Cricetulus griseus: one gene and its partners. The protein of the gene in region 3 interacts with the protein of the main gene of each other region in a biochemical or structural test. Links are inferred from orthologs where the notes say so. Each region holds a gene or a part of one and is shown on either strand. Other genes may lie near its edges.

The links. The genes of interacting proteins can lie anywhere in the genome.
Region 1: of the proteins of Mapk8 (region 3) and Elk1, one has a biochemical effect on the other in vitro, tested with the Homo sapiens proteins (3 studies listed by BioGRID). The link is inferred for Cricetulus griseus from reciprocal best matches to the Homo sapiens genes MAPK8 and ELK1.
Region 2: the proteins of Mapk8 (region 3) and glutathione S-transferase P 2 form a complex in vitro, tested with the Homo sapiens proteins (2 studies listed by BioGRID). The link is inferred for Cricetulus griseus from reciprocal best matches to the Homo sapiens genes MAPK8 and GSTP1.

What each region holds. Positions count from the first base shown.
Region 1 is NC_048604.1:125,801,326-125,805,075, forward strand, and holds the start of Elk1 (ETS domain-containing protein Elk-1), read right to left. Parts: upstream 2,553-3,750; 5' UTR 2,378-2,552; intron 1-2,377. UniProt on the Homo sapiens protein: Transcription factor that binds to purine-rich DNA sequences. Forms a ternary complex with SRF and the ETS and SRF motifs of the serum response element (SRE) on the promoter region of immediate early genes such as FOS and IER2.
Region 2 is NC_048596.1:55,181,528-55,185,277, reverse strand, and holds glutathione S-transferase P 2, read right to left. Parts: upstream 2,881-3,750; 5' UTR 2,828-2,880; coding exon 2,791-2,827; intron 2,679-2,790; coding exon 2,643-2,678; intron 2,507-2,642; exon of another isoform or gene 2,404-2,506; intron 2,266-2,403; coding exon 2,159-2,265; intron 2,049-2,158; coding exon 1,961-2,048; intron 1,073-1,960; coding exon 969-1,072; intron 864-968; coding exon 756-863; intron 624-755; coding exon 435-623; 3' UTR 373-434; downstream 1-372. UniProt on the Homo sapiens protein: Conjugation of reduced glutathione to a wide number of exogenous and endogenous hydrophobic electrophiles. Involved in the formation of glutathione conjugates of both prostaglandin A2 (PGA2) and prostaglandin J2 (PGJ2).
Region 3 is NW_023276807.1:185,993,012-185,996,661, forward strand, and holds part of Mapk8 (mitogen-activated protein kinase 8), read left to right. Parts: intron 1-1,520; coding exon 1,521-1,650; intron 1,651-3,650. UniProt on the Homo sapiens protein: Serine/threonine-protein kinase involved in various processes such as cell proliferation, differentiation, migration, transformation and programmed cell death.

The DNA.
Region 1 (3,750 bases), on a different chromosome or scaffold from region 3:
TAATATATATATATATATATATATATATATATATATATCTTCCAAGTATCTACTGTACAGAAGGTACATTTTTAGATGAGGACAGAGAACTGAATAAGCAGATAAAACCTATAAGTCCCCATAGGACCTCCATCCTGAGGAGGAGAGACAGACAATATATGAACTGTATAGCATTTCTAACAGTGACAGAGTAGAAAGGAACAAAGCAAGCAGGGAAGAATGCTGCTGAATGCACAAAATCAGATGGTCAAGGGGAGGGGTGGATGTTGACTATTTTGTTTTCACACAAAAAGTATCCTTTGAAACACTTTTATTCATGTGCCTTTATATAATATATTCTAAGCACCAGTGTGACAAATACATGTTTCACTGAAAGAACACTACCCAGATGCAAAGAAATGAAAACAGTCTCTGAAACATCTTCTATTTGTGCCTCTGTGGCTCTGGAGGCTGTCCTGGAACTCGCTCTTGTAGACCAGCTGGCCTTGAACTCACAGAGATCTGTCTGCCTCTGCCTCTATTTGTGCCTTTCCATATTACCAACATCACATTTCTGTTAATGCATCCTTTTACACTTACTTAAGAATCAAATGGAATTCTTAGAAACATCTGTAGTGTGTTTCCTGCACAGTGTGGTGAAAAAATTCTTTTGGGTATGGTAACTGAATGGGGCCTTGGAAGTTATCATACAGAAATGTGGGAGTAGTGTTAAGGGAGAAAGAAGAGCCAGTGCAAAGGCCCTGAGGTGGGCCTGTACCTGCTGTTTTCCAGAAGCAGTGAAGAACAGGTTGTACTATGGGTCTGAAATAGGGAGGGAAAGGAGGTAAGGTCAGAGAGGTGACTGGTTTAATTAAGTCACATATTTTTTCTCCACACTGGAAATGATTATAGTTCCTGACTCCCCATTTCAGGATAGTACAGGAAGAAAGTAGTTAAGGCATTCATATAAAATCACAGCACTGCTGGGACTGGGGGATGATAGGTTTTGGACCAGTGTGGAATGGAGATAGCTGTTGACAGAAGGAACAGCAGAAACAAAAGCCTGGTAATTTGAACTAATTTGGCTGTTTAAGAATGTGCTCTCATGTGGGATGCAATGAGGTGAGAGGGGGCACTTCACAATGTTCCTTGCTCTAAGTAGTTATTGGACCATTTGTGAGTCAGGTTTTTCATCTCCATATGCCCCAGTTTTCTCAGCTGCCTGTCTCACAGGGCTGTGATGAGGACTAAGCAAGCTGGAGACTATAGAACACTCTGTCTGGTCCACAGCAAGTGTAAAGTGTAAAGGTTATCTCTGACTGTCATTAACATCAGTACCATTACTGTACTTGAGAACTGTAGGAAGGCAAAATGTCTAAGTGGATAAGAATGTCTACGAGAAAACATGTAAACTGTATAGTAAAAGTCCCTGGGTTTCTCACATAACACAGGATCACCTAAGAGATGGGGGCAGGGAAGATTGATTCAACACATGGAGAGGAGGAGGGAAATAAAGTACAAGCCCTATCTTTCTTGGGGAGGGACTGCAAGCACTGGATTCAGAAGGATATGAGAGAATGCAAACACTGAGGTGGCAGGAGGCTGCTGACTACTATGCAATAGCAGAGAAGAGCCATCACATAATGATTAAAACGAGAGACAAGACAATAGACTGGGCCGCCGAAAATTAAAAAAAAAATATATATATACAAAGCACCAAACTGACCCATTGTTAAAAGGAAGCAGCCCAAAGGCTGGAGTCTACCAATAAGGGAGAAAAGTTAGGGCAGTGTTAGCTAGAGGGATGTGAATGCAAGCATGCAGACTAATCCAGAGTAAGATGGGGGCAGCGGGAGGACGTGGGTAAAGTCATGGGTGTATGCACTGGGGAAATCAAGGGGGCAGAAATAAAAACTCAGGTGGACTCACTGTTAAACAAATATGGGGTCTCTGGAGGGGGTACAGCGCCACAGATTGACGACAACGAAACATGAGGGGCTCAATAAAGAAGGCCACAGAGGATCCCCTTAAAGTTGAGGCTAAGGAGACATGCAAACACTTTAGAAGCAGCTACTACTAAAGGAAGACTGGACAATTTAACAGACTTATTCCCAGTAAGTGGGGGTTGGGGAGGGCAAGACCACGGACGAGTCCATTAAGTTGGGGTGAGGAAAAACAAGCTCGCAGACAGATCCATTATACAGAGATAGCAGGAGGTTAGGCCACGCTCAGATCCACTATAAGGGGCAAAGGAGCTGGCAATGCACACACAGGGGAAATCAGTTGGTGGCAGTGGAGCCAAACACCGGCAGGCTGGGCCAAGCCACATCCCCTGCGCGGGGGCGAGGATACATGGGGTCACGGACGGGGCCCTCCACCTTGAGGGCCTGGGGCTCACCTGCGTGTGGCGCGGCGGTGGCAGCGGCAGCTCCGGGGGGCGGGGGCTCCATACGAGGCCCCACCGCCCCCCAGGCCCGAGTTCTAAGGCGGCGGCGGCGGTGGTAGCAGCGGCGGGAGCAGCAGCAGTGGTGGTGGCGGCGGCAGCACCCAAAAGCCGCCCCTGCGTTTCCCCAACGCTCACGTGGGCCCTCAGGGGAGGAGCCGAGCGCCCTGCTACTCGCTGATTGGCCAAAAAGTCAAGGATGTAGGCAAAGCTTTGGGGCCTGGTGGTGGAATCCTAACAGAGCTGTGACATGATTGGCTTGAAGGGGATTGATGGGCTGCAGATGGCCAACTAGAGAGGTATTGGGCGGCACTAGTGCTTCACCCTGATTGGGTCAAGGAGGACTTGTAGCCAAGTGGGCAAGTGCCAAGGTTGGGGGGTGGGGGTGGGGAGCGCGCCTGGTTCATACCGATTGGCCTAAATGAGATTGATGGCAGACAGACAACCCCAGAGGATAAAGGGGCGGTGGATGGGCTCTGCTTTCAGCTGATTGGTAGAGACACCGAGACAGCTGCCAAAACACCAAAGTAGGTGGTGCTGCACACCATGTGGTTCAGCGGAAACAGGACTTATTTAGAACAGGGAATAGCAGCAGGGTAGGGCTTGACTCTATGTAGGAGGGTAGGGTAACGCTATGGTAATTAGCTAGGCAAGACGAATTTAGAATTCAGCAGAGGTAGGAGGCCAGATATACAGGGGAGTTGAGGGGTGGAAATGAACTGTCTGCAAGGGCAGGCTTAGGCTGCAGCCTGAGTTATAAGGGTGGAACTTGGCTCTTAGTTATCTAAGACTGGACTCTAGGTTATAGGCCCTGTAGCAAGAAGGGCAGGATCTGTGCCTTTTGGTGGAAACTAGATCTATTTAGAACTCTTGGAACCATTTAGGGAACAAATCAAGGTTGTGAAAGAGAGACAATAAACCTTAAGATCTGAAGTAAAGGGCTAATGGCCATGGAAACAAATCACTTTGAATTGACACTTTTAAAATTCATTTCAAGGGTCTCATGATCTTCCTGCCTACTCCTGATCCCACTCAGGTAGACCTATGAATTTAGCACTTCATGTGTGATAGGCACTCTACCAATTGAACTTCATCCCCAGTCCATGAATTGGTTCATTGTTTATAGTAATACAAAGGGCACAGATACAAATATCTAGGAAAAGAATTAAAAGTGTGAGGAGGTGGGTCGAAGTCTACAAAATAACAAAAAAGGGCAAAGCATAAAGTCATGTGGAAAATACAAATTGGAGGCAAGATCTCTAGAGTGTTTTAGAGGTTCTACAGAAAGGATGGGTCTTCCAGTAACTTTGGTCTCCAGGGCACTTAGT
Region 2 (3,750 bases), on a different chromosome or scaffold from region 3:
CTTTTTTCTTTTCTTTTTTTCTTTTCTTTTTTTTTTTTTTTAAGATTTTATTTATTTTGTATACAGTCTTGTGCCTGCATGCCAGCAGAGGGCACCAGATCTCATTCAGGGTGGTTGAGAGCCACGATGTGGTTGCTGGGAATTGAACTCAGGACCTCTGGAAGAACAGTCAGTGATCTTAATCGCTAAGCCATCTCTCCAGCCCCCCTTCTTTCTTTCTTTTTTTTAAATTTTTCGAGACAGAATTTCTCTGTGTAGCCCTGAATGTCCTGTAATTCCCTCTGTAGAACACCGAATTCAGAGATCTGCCTGCCTCTGCCTCCTGAGTGTTGGGATTAAGGGGGTGTTTGTCGTATGCCACCACAGCCCAGCCCGGCTCCTGCCCTCGTTTTTATTGATCCATGAGGGGGAGGGATTGGGCGAAGCAGGTGGGCTCATATCTTTAGGCGAGCAGAAATGGGGCGGTTCACATGCTCAGGGGAATCCAGGAAGGCTTTGAGCTTGGGTCGGGCTCTGAGGCGTGTCACATAGGCTGAGAGCATGGGAAAGTCATTCAAGTAGCCAGGGAACAGACGCTCGTGGTTCAGAAGCAAGTCTAGCAGTCGGTAGTCCGCAAAGGAGATCTATGGGCAGGAGAGAAACTCCATGGAGCCAAACACTGGATGCTTCCTGCCTCCATTTCTGCATCAGGGAACTTGGCCTCAGATCTGAGAAAGGATCTGAGTAGAGTGGGAAGGGCCTGACCCAGTGCTCACCTGGTCACCCACAATGAAGGACTGGCCACCCTTGTTCTGGGCCAGCAGAGTTTCAAATGGCTTCAGGTGTCTTGGAAGTTCCTTCAGATACTGGACCTTGCCCTCCTCCTGTGGACAGAAATGACCCCAGGTGAGAATGTGCAGCCAGACTGACAAAAGTGAGTTCCGTTTCCTGACCACCCTGCTTTGCACAAGCCTGCAGTCCCTACATACATAGTTTCGGAGAAGCTGCTGGCCAAGGTGCCTGATGAGGTCTTCCAGCCCGTCGTTCACCATGTCCACCAGCGCTGCCTCTTTCTGGTCTTTGCCGTAGAGCCCTGGGTCAGGAAGCAGGCAGCATACTCGTGTTCTGTGCTAGTCCCTAAATACCCGCTCACACCAAAGCCTGGGTCTACTTTGCATTGAAGATCTTCCCTGTCCTGCCTACCTCAGCCATGCCACCTTCACAAGGGAAGAGTCTACCATCCCCCAGGGCCACAGCCAACTGAAGCCTGGGCCTGCTTTCTGGGCCACACCTGTCACTGGATCTGCCACACCAAAGGAAGTCAAAAACTCTGTTTTGTCCCTCCCTTGGAACAAGCTGTCTAGGGACCTAGACAGACCGGGGTGTGAAGGCTGCTATCCACATACATTGTGAGATGCACAAGGCAGATGAGAAGATGACAGGCCCCAGCCCAAGGCCGTGGTCTGCTCTCTAGGTCCTGTAAAAGAGGAGTTGGCCTGAACTGCTCCCACTACCCATCCATCCTCAGGTTATTATGTCTTTATGGAACTCCGGGCACCCCTTTCCCAACCAGGCCCACAGAGAATAGTTGCCTCTGCCACCTTCCTGACATCATCCAAACAGGCTGAGGCCTCGTCACTGTGACTATGGGTTTCCCTGACTGGGGTATGGCCAGGTTAGGAAGAAATGGGCAGTGAGGTCTACTGGGAAGTCTCTAGTCCTGTTCCATTGTCACACATAGAAACTGGTGGCCCCTTATGAGATGTCATTTAGAACAAATAATGCAAGTTTACTGGAAATTCACAGCCCCCACTGTGCACAGACAGACCAGCACCACACCTGGGAGCCTCTTGGAACCTGAGCCTGCAGCCTGCCTCTAGGGTAACCTGCTTGCCCTCTATCCAGGTGAGAGATTGGTTGCTGTAGGACATTTTGCAGGACATCTGTCAGGTGTCTTTCAGGGTTGTACTTCAGGACTCACCGAAGGAGCGGCCCAGGTGCCGCAGGATGGCATTAGATTGGTACAGGGTGATGTCTCCATCCTGGAACTTGGGGAGCTGCCCAAACAGCTGGGAGAAGACAGCTCTGTAAGGGGTGCTCAATGGGCTGCCCCCAACCCTAGTCACAGGACCCTAAGGCTGCGCCCCAGTGCCATCCCCACTTTAGTGTAGTCACTCACACAAGAAGCCTTGAGTGTACCCTGCTCCCAGGCATCCAAGGTCACCACCTCCTCCTTCCAGCTCTGGCCCTGGTCGGCTAGCAGCATGCGCATAACCTCGCAGCGCCCTGTATTAGGGTACGGGACAGAGATTGGGGAACTGAACAGAGACCTGGGAGAGTTTGGAAGAATGGAAAGCTTACAAAAGGACCAAACTAAAACGTTGGGAGGGGAGACACGGAGTAGAGGCCACGCCCTACCAATACCTAGGAGAGCGGGACACAGCTCCACAATGGCCCAGGAAAGGAAGAGTAACAAAGTCCCTCCACCTAAGGTGCCCGAGAGGGCAGTTCTGTTCCCACCAATCACAACTGTAGTCCCGCCCCAGGTCTCGGTCCCACCCCAGCACGGCCTTTGCCACGCCCCTCCGGCTCCACAGGAGCCACAGGAGCGATCCTGAGGACTACAATTTGTGCCCTTCATCTTGAAAGCGCTGAGGCCACACCTCGAGAGGGGAAGTAGACGATGGTGTAAGGCGGCACTAGAAGAGATAAACACACAGAAAGCACGATGAAGAAAGACCTCATGGCGGGGGTGGGGGTGGGGTGTCAACTCTGCCCAGGCCCCGTCCTCACCGCCCAGCTCCTACTTACTTTTGGGCGATGCAGTGCGGTGCAACTTCAGCAGCATGAGAGGAGGTGACTCGGGCCTTATATTTACAGCGCAGCTCCGCCTCCTCAGACCTCGAGCCCTGCCCCAGGAATATGCCAAGTCACCGTGCTCAGCACATTAGGCTCCAGGCAAAGGCTAGGGGAGGTGGGGCAGAGAGCACCAGACCCACCTGTACATCTGCAGTACTGTCTATACTGGGGCTTTGCAAGAGGCACGCATGCTAAGCCTCGCGCCTTAACACGCCAAAAACACACGGTCCCTCGTGTCCTCAGGGGCCTGGACAGTACCTTGCAGGCACGAAGGTCTCCAGCCAACAGCACTTAGATGCTCAATAAATGTTCATTGTAAGAAGGCAAGGTTGCCAGGCAGGGTGGCACACGCCTTTAATCCCAGCACTCAGTGTGTAGAGACCCGCAGCTCTCAGCGAATTAGAGGGCTGGAGAGCTGGCTTAGTGGTTAAGCATATACGGCTCTTACAGAGGGTTCAGATCCTAGCACCCATGCCACGCAGCACTCAACCACCTCTAACTACAGCTCCAACGCCTGTGGCTTCTGAGGTCACCCGCACACACATGCACATAATCTACACACACACACACACACACACACACACACACACACACACACACACAAGTAAATATAAAATAAAATCTTTGGAAAGATAATAAATCAGAGTCAGTGAGAAAACTCAGTGAAATGCCACCCAGTCTGATGGCCTGAGTTCAACTCCTGGAATCCACAGTGAAAACAAGAGAACAGACTCCCAAGAGTTGTCCTCTAATCCTTACAGCCCCTGTAGCTTGTATACACACTCATACCATAGTAATAAAGCAAAAAAAAAAAAAAAAAAAAGCAAAACTGAGGCAAACTTGGAACAGCAAATGGTGGAAGGGGTTTTGCTCTCCCTCCCTCCCTGTCTGCTTAAAGCTGAAACAATTTTT
Region 3 (3,650 bases):
ATCACTAAGTTAGCATTATAATTTAGTGTTTGGGGAAATGCTAAGCCATACCCAAGGATAATTACATCTTTATTACTACTTAAACAAAATTTGTTTAAAGTGTGTTAGAAAAGAAATTGGGAGTGTTTATGATCCAGCATGTTTATAAGGTTCTAGAAAAGCTCTTGCTTATGTCCACAAATACATGTACATAAGGCTGTTCTTTGAAGCGTTATTTCTAATAGCAAAAGTTGAAACAGCATCCGGTCTGGCAGCAGGAGAATATGTGATACATTCGAACAGCAATATACTGTGCAACATTTAAAGTGAACTGGAGCTGTATATGTCACCTGGATACCATCTGAAGTATAGACCTGAGTATTAAAGCAATACACAAAAATATACTATATTGTCTTATTTCTATGTAATGTAAAATATGCAAAGCAGTTCCATATACTTAGGATTGAGTACATATGTAGAAAAGATAAAAGCTTACCTCTGAGAACAGAAGAGAAAGTCTTTACCTGTAGTATGTTTCTCTTTTTAAAAAAATCAGAACAATTATGGTAAAATATTAAAATTTAACAGAATTATATAATAGAAACACTGGTTTTTATTCTTTTCTCAGGTCCTCAGATCTAGCATTCATACTTATCAATACTTTGAGTTTTTAGTTCCTCCTCCAAAACAAAATGTTAAAGGATTTGTTTTTTAGTCTTTTGTATACATCCTCTAGTATAGCTTCCTTTCTGTACTTGCTGTCTTGTGTCCTAAAGGATTAAAACACTACAGTATTCTTTGGTAAATACATTGTAAAAAAATTTGGATGGATGGATGGATGGATGGATGGATGGATGGATGGATGGATGGATGGGGTGTCTTATGTGTGTTGCCTGCTTATATATCTGTGTGCTATTTGGGTACCTACGGAGGCCAGAAGAGGACATTGGATCCCTCGAACTGGAGTTGTAGATGGTTGTGATCTGCCATATGGGTTCTGGGAATCAAACCTGTGTCCTATGGGAGAGCAGCTTGTGTCCTTAACTACTGAGTCATCTTTCCAGCCCCAAAATTCTCAGTAAATATTTTAAGTAGAAGTCATGCTCATGTAGCCTGTCTTTCTTGATAGAGCTGCAAGGTGAAAGAGTCATTTAGACTTCAGACTAATACTGGGAATTGGCATATCAATAGCACAGTAGGTGTAAAGAAAGGAACCTGCCATTAAGCCTGACTGCCTGAGTTCATTCAATCTCCAGGATTCATATGGTGGATCCTGGAGATTCATACAAGTCGTCTTCTGTCTTCCACATGACACCCTTACCCACCCCTAAACATATACATACAAAATGGATACATTTTTTAAATGCAATTTAAAAAGTAAGATAAAAAGAACTTATGCACACGTGCCCACCTGTCCACCTGTGCTTATTGATCTTGAGTGACACAGTCTTGGTGAAAAAAGGAAGGAGTCTATGTGATTGCTCTATAAGTTTGATTTTAGAACTTTGTGCCTAACTTTTTTTTATTATTTCTTATTACAGTGCAGCTTATGATGCTATTCTTGAAAGAAATGTTGCAATCAAGAAGCTCAGCCGGCCATTTCAGAATCAGACTCATGCTAAGCGAGCCTACCGAGAACTAGTTCTTATGAAATGTGTTAATCACAAAAATGTAAGTGAATATTTCATGTTTCTTCACTGTAAGTGAAATCAAGATTTATTCATGAATACATGCCTGTCAAAGGCTTTTTTATTTTTTAATATTAGGAGATTTAAATTACTTCTCTAGATTGAAACATTTAAAATCTACAGACTGATCTTCCTTCCACCCCCTCCCCTTACCCCCATTAGTAAGTAGTACCAAAAGGGGAAAAAATGAGTTGTGAAATTTAGATTGGGTAGTTTCCTGGCATTTAATTTATAGAAAGAATTTTAAGGAAATGTTTGAAAATCATTTTATTGGGCTGGAGATTGGCTCAGCAGTTAAGTGCACTGACTTCTCTTCCAGAGGTCCTGAGTTCAATTCTCAGCAACCACATGGTGGTTCACAACCTTCTGTAATGGGATCTGGTGCCCTCTTCTGCTGTGCATGGAGACAAGTCACTCATATACATAAATATTTTTTTTAAAAATCATTTTATTCAGAATTTTTCTCATCTTAGTTTTGTTGTTGCATGTAAAGCTGGCATTTCAGAAAACTGTACAGAAATGTACATTCCCATTGTACTTGGACATTGAAACTTAACACAAAATTCAAGATACTTCTCTGCACCCAATTCTGACTTCTTTTAAGTGGTATCAATACTTTTACTCAGATAACCACTGATAATAATAGTTGAACTAAAATTTGGAAATATTTACAGAGAACAAGGAAAACATTTCTAACTTGAAAATAAAGTTTTCATTCAATTTGAAAATGAACAGATTTTTGTTTGTTTGTTTGTTTTTCATGACAAAAGAGGGCATCAGATCCCATTATAGATGGTTTCTGAGCCACTATGTGGTTTCTGGGAATTGAGCTCAGGACCTCTGAAAGAGAAATCAGACAGTACTCTTAACTGCTGAGACATCTCTGCAGCCCCAGTTAGATGTTTTTTTGTTTTGTTTTGTTTTGAGACAAGGTTTCACTGTAGGTTTTGGAGTAAACTCTCTTTGAAGACCAGGCTGGCCTCGAACTCACAGAGATCCCCTCTCTCTGCTTCTGGAGTGCTGGGATTAAAGGCATGCGCCACCACCATCTGGCTGCAGTTAGATGTTTGCATTAAGCATCTAATGCATAGTTTGCATTAAGCATATTGATATGTTTATGATTATCTTAATGGGACAGTTTCCAAACTGGGAGGACATAAACAACTCGAGAATTGCAGAAAGGACAGTTTTATGAACCACTAAACTGAAAAGTGCTGGCCAGTGACATGTTATTCCAAAGGAATTTATAAAATATTAGTTCCATACTTTCTGGTGTAGAAAATATAATTCATCACATTTTGAGAGCTAGCCACAAATAGAACCTTTGTATATTAAAGTTACAGATTAATTACCAATGTGAAATGTATAGATGTTAAGGATTAGGCTTATTATTTGGGAAGTTTATGTGTAGTTTTGAAGGCAGTGAGACATGATGAGAGTTAAATACCACAAAGCAGTAATAATTTAATTGTCAGATAGTAAAGAGCAGACAGTACATGTTGATATCTCAGGGAGATTTCTCTGAGCTTCAATGAACTGAGAAGTCTTAAAGAGCAGAGAAGTAGACTTTAACTGACTCTTAAAAATGGGGTGAAAGTTAGATTGTGGGAAAGGGACTGACAGAGAAAGAGTGGTCATTATCAAGGAAGAAATTGTAGTTTCTTGTTGCAAGTGGGAGCCAGACATGGTGCTTCTCAGAGTTCTGCTTGTGGCCCTACCTCTGCTAGAGCTGCTCATACCCCTTCTAATCTCTGGACCTAGTTTAAAATCTTTTATGGCTGTTTTAAGTGTTGCCTCAGTTTTTCTTTGTTGAATTCAAATACTCCTTCCCCCACCTTGGGTGACAACAAAGATGTTCCATCTGCTAAATGGAGAGTATGGGAAGTATGTCTTATATGCTTAGCCACCTAAAGTGACCCAGACTGGGTGCTTAATGTAATCTGTTTATTGAATGAATATAAAATTAATATGGTAAAAACCATG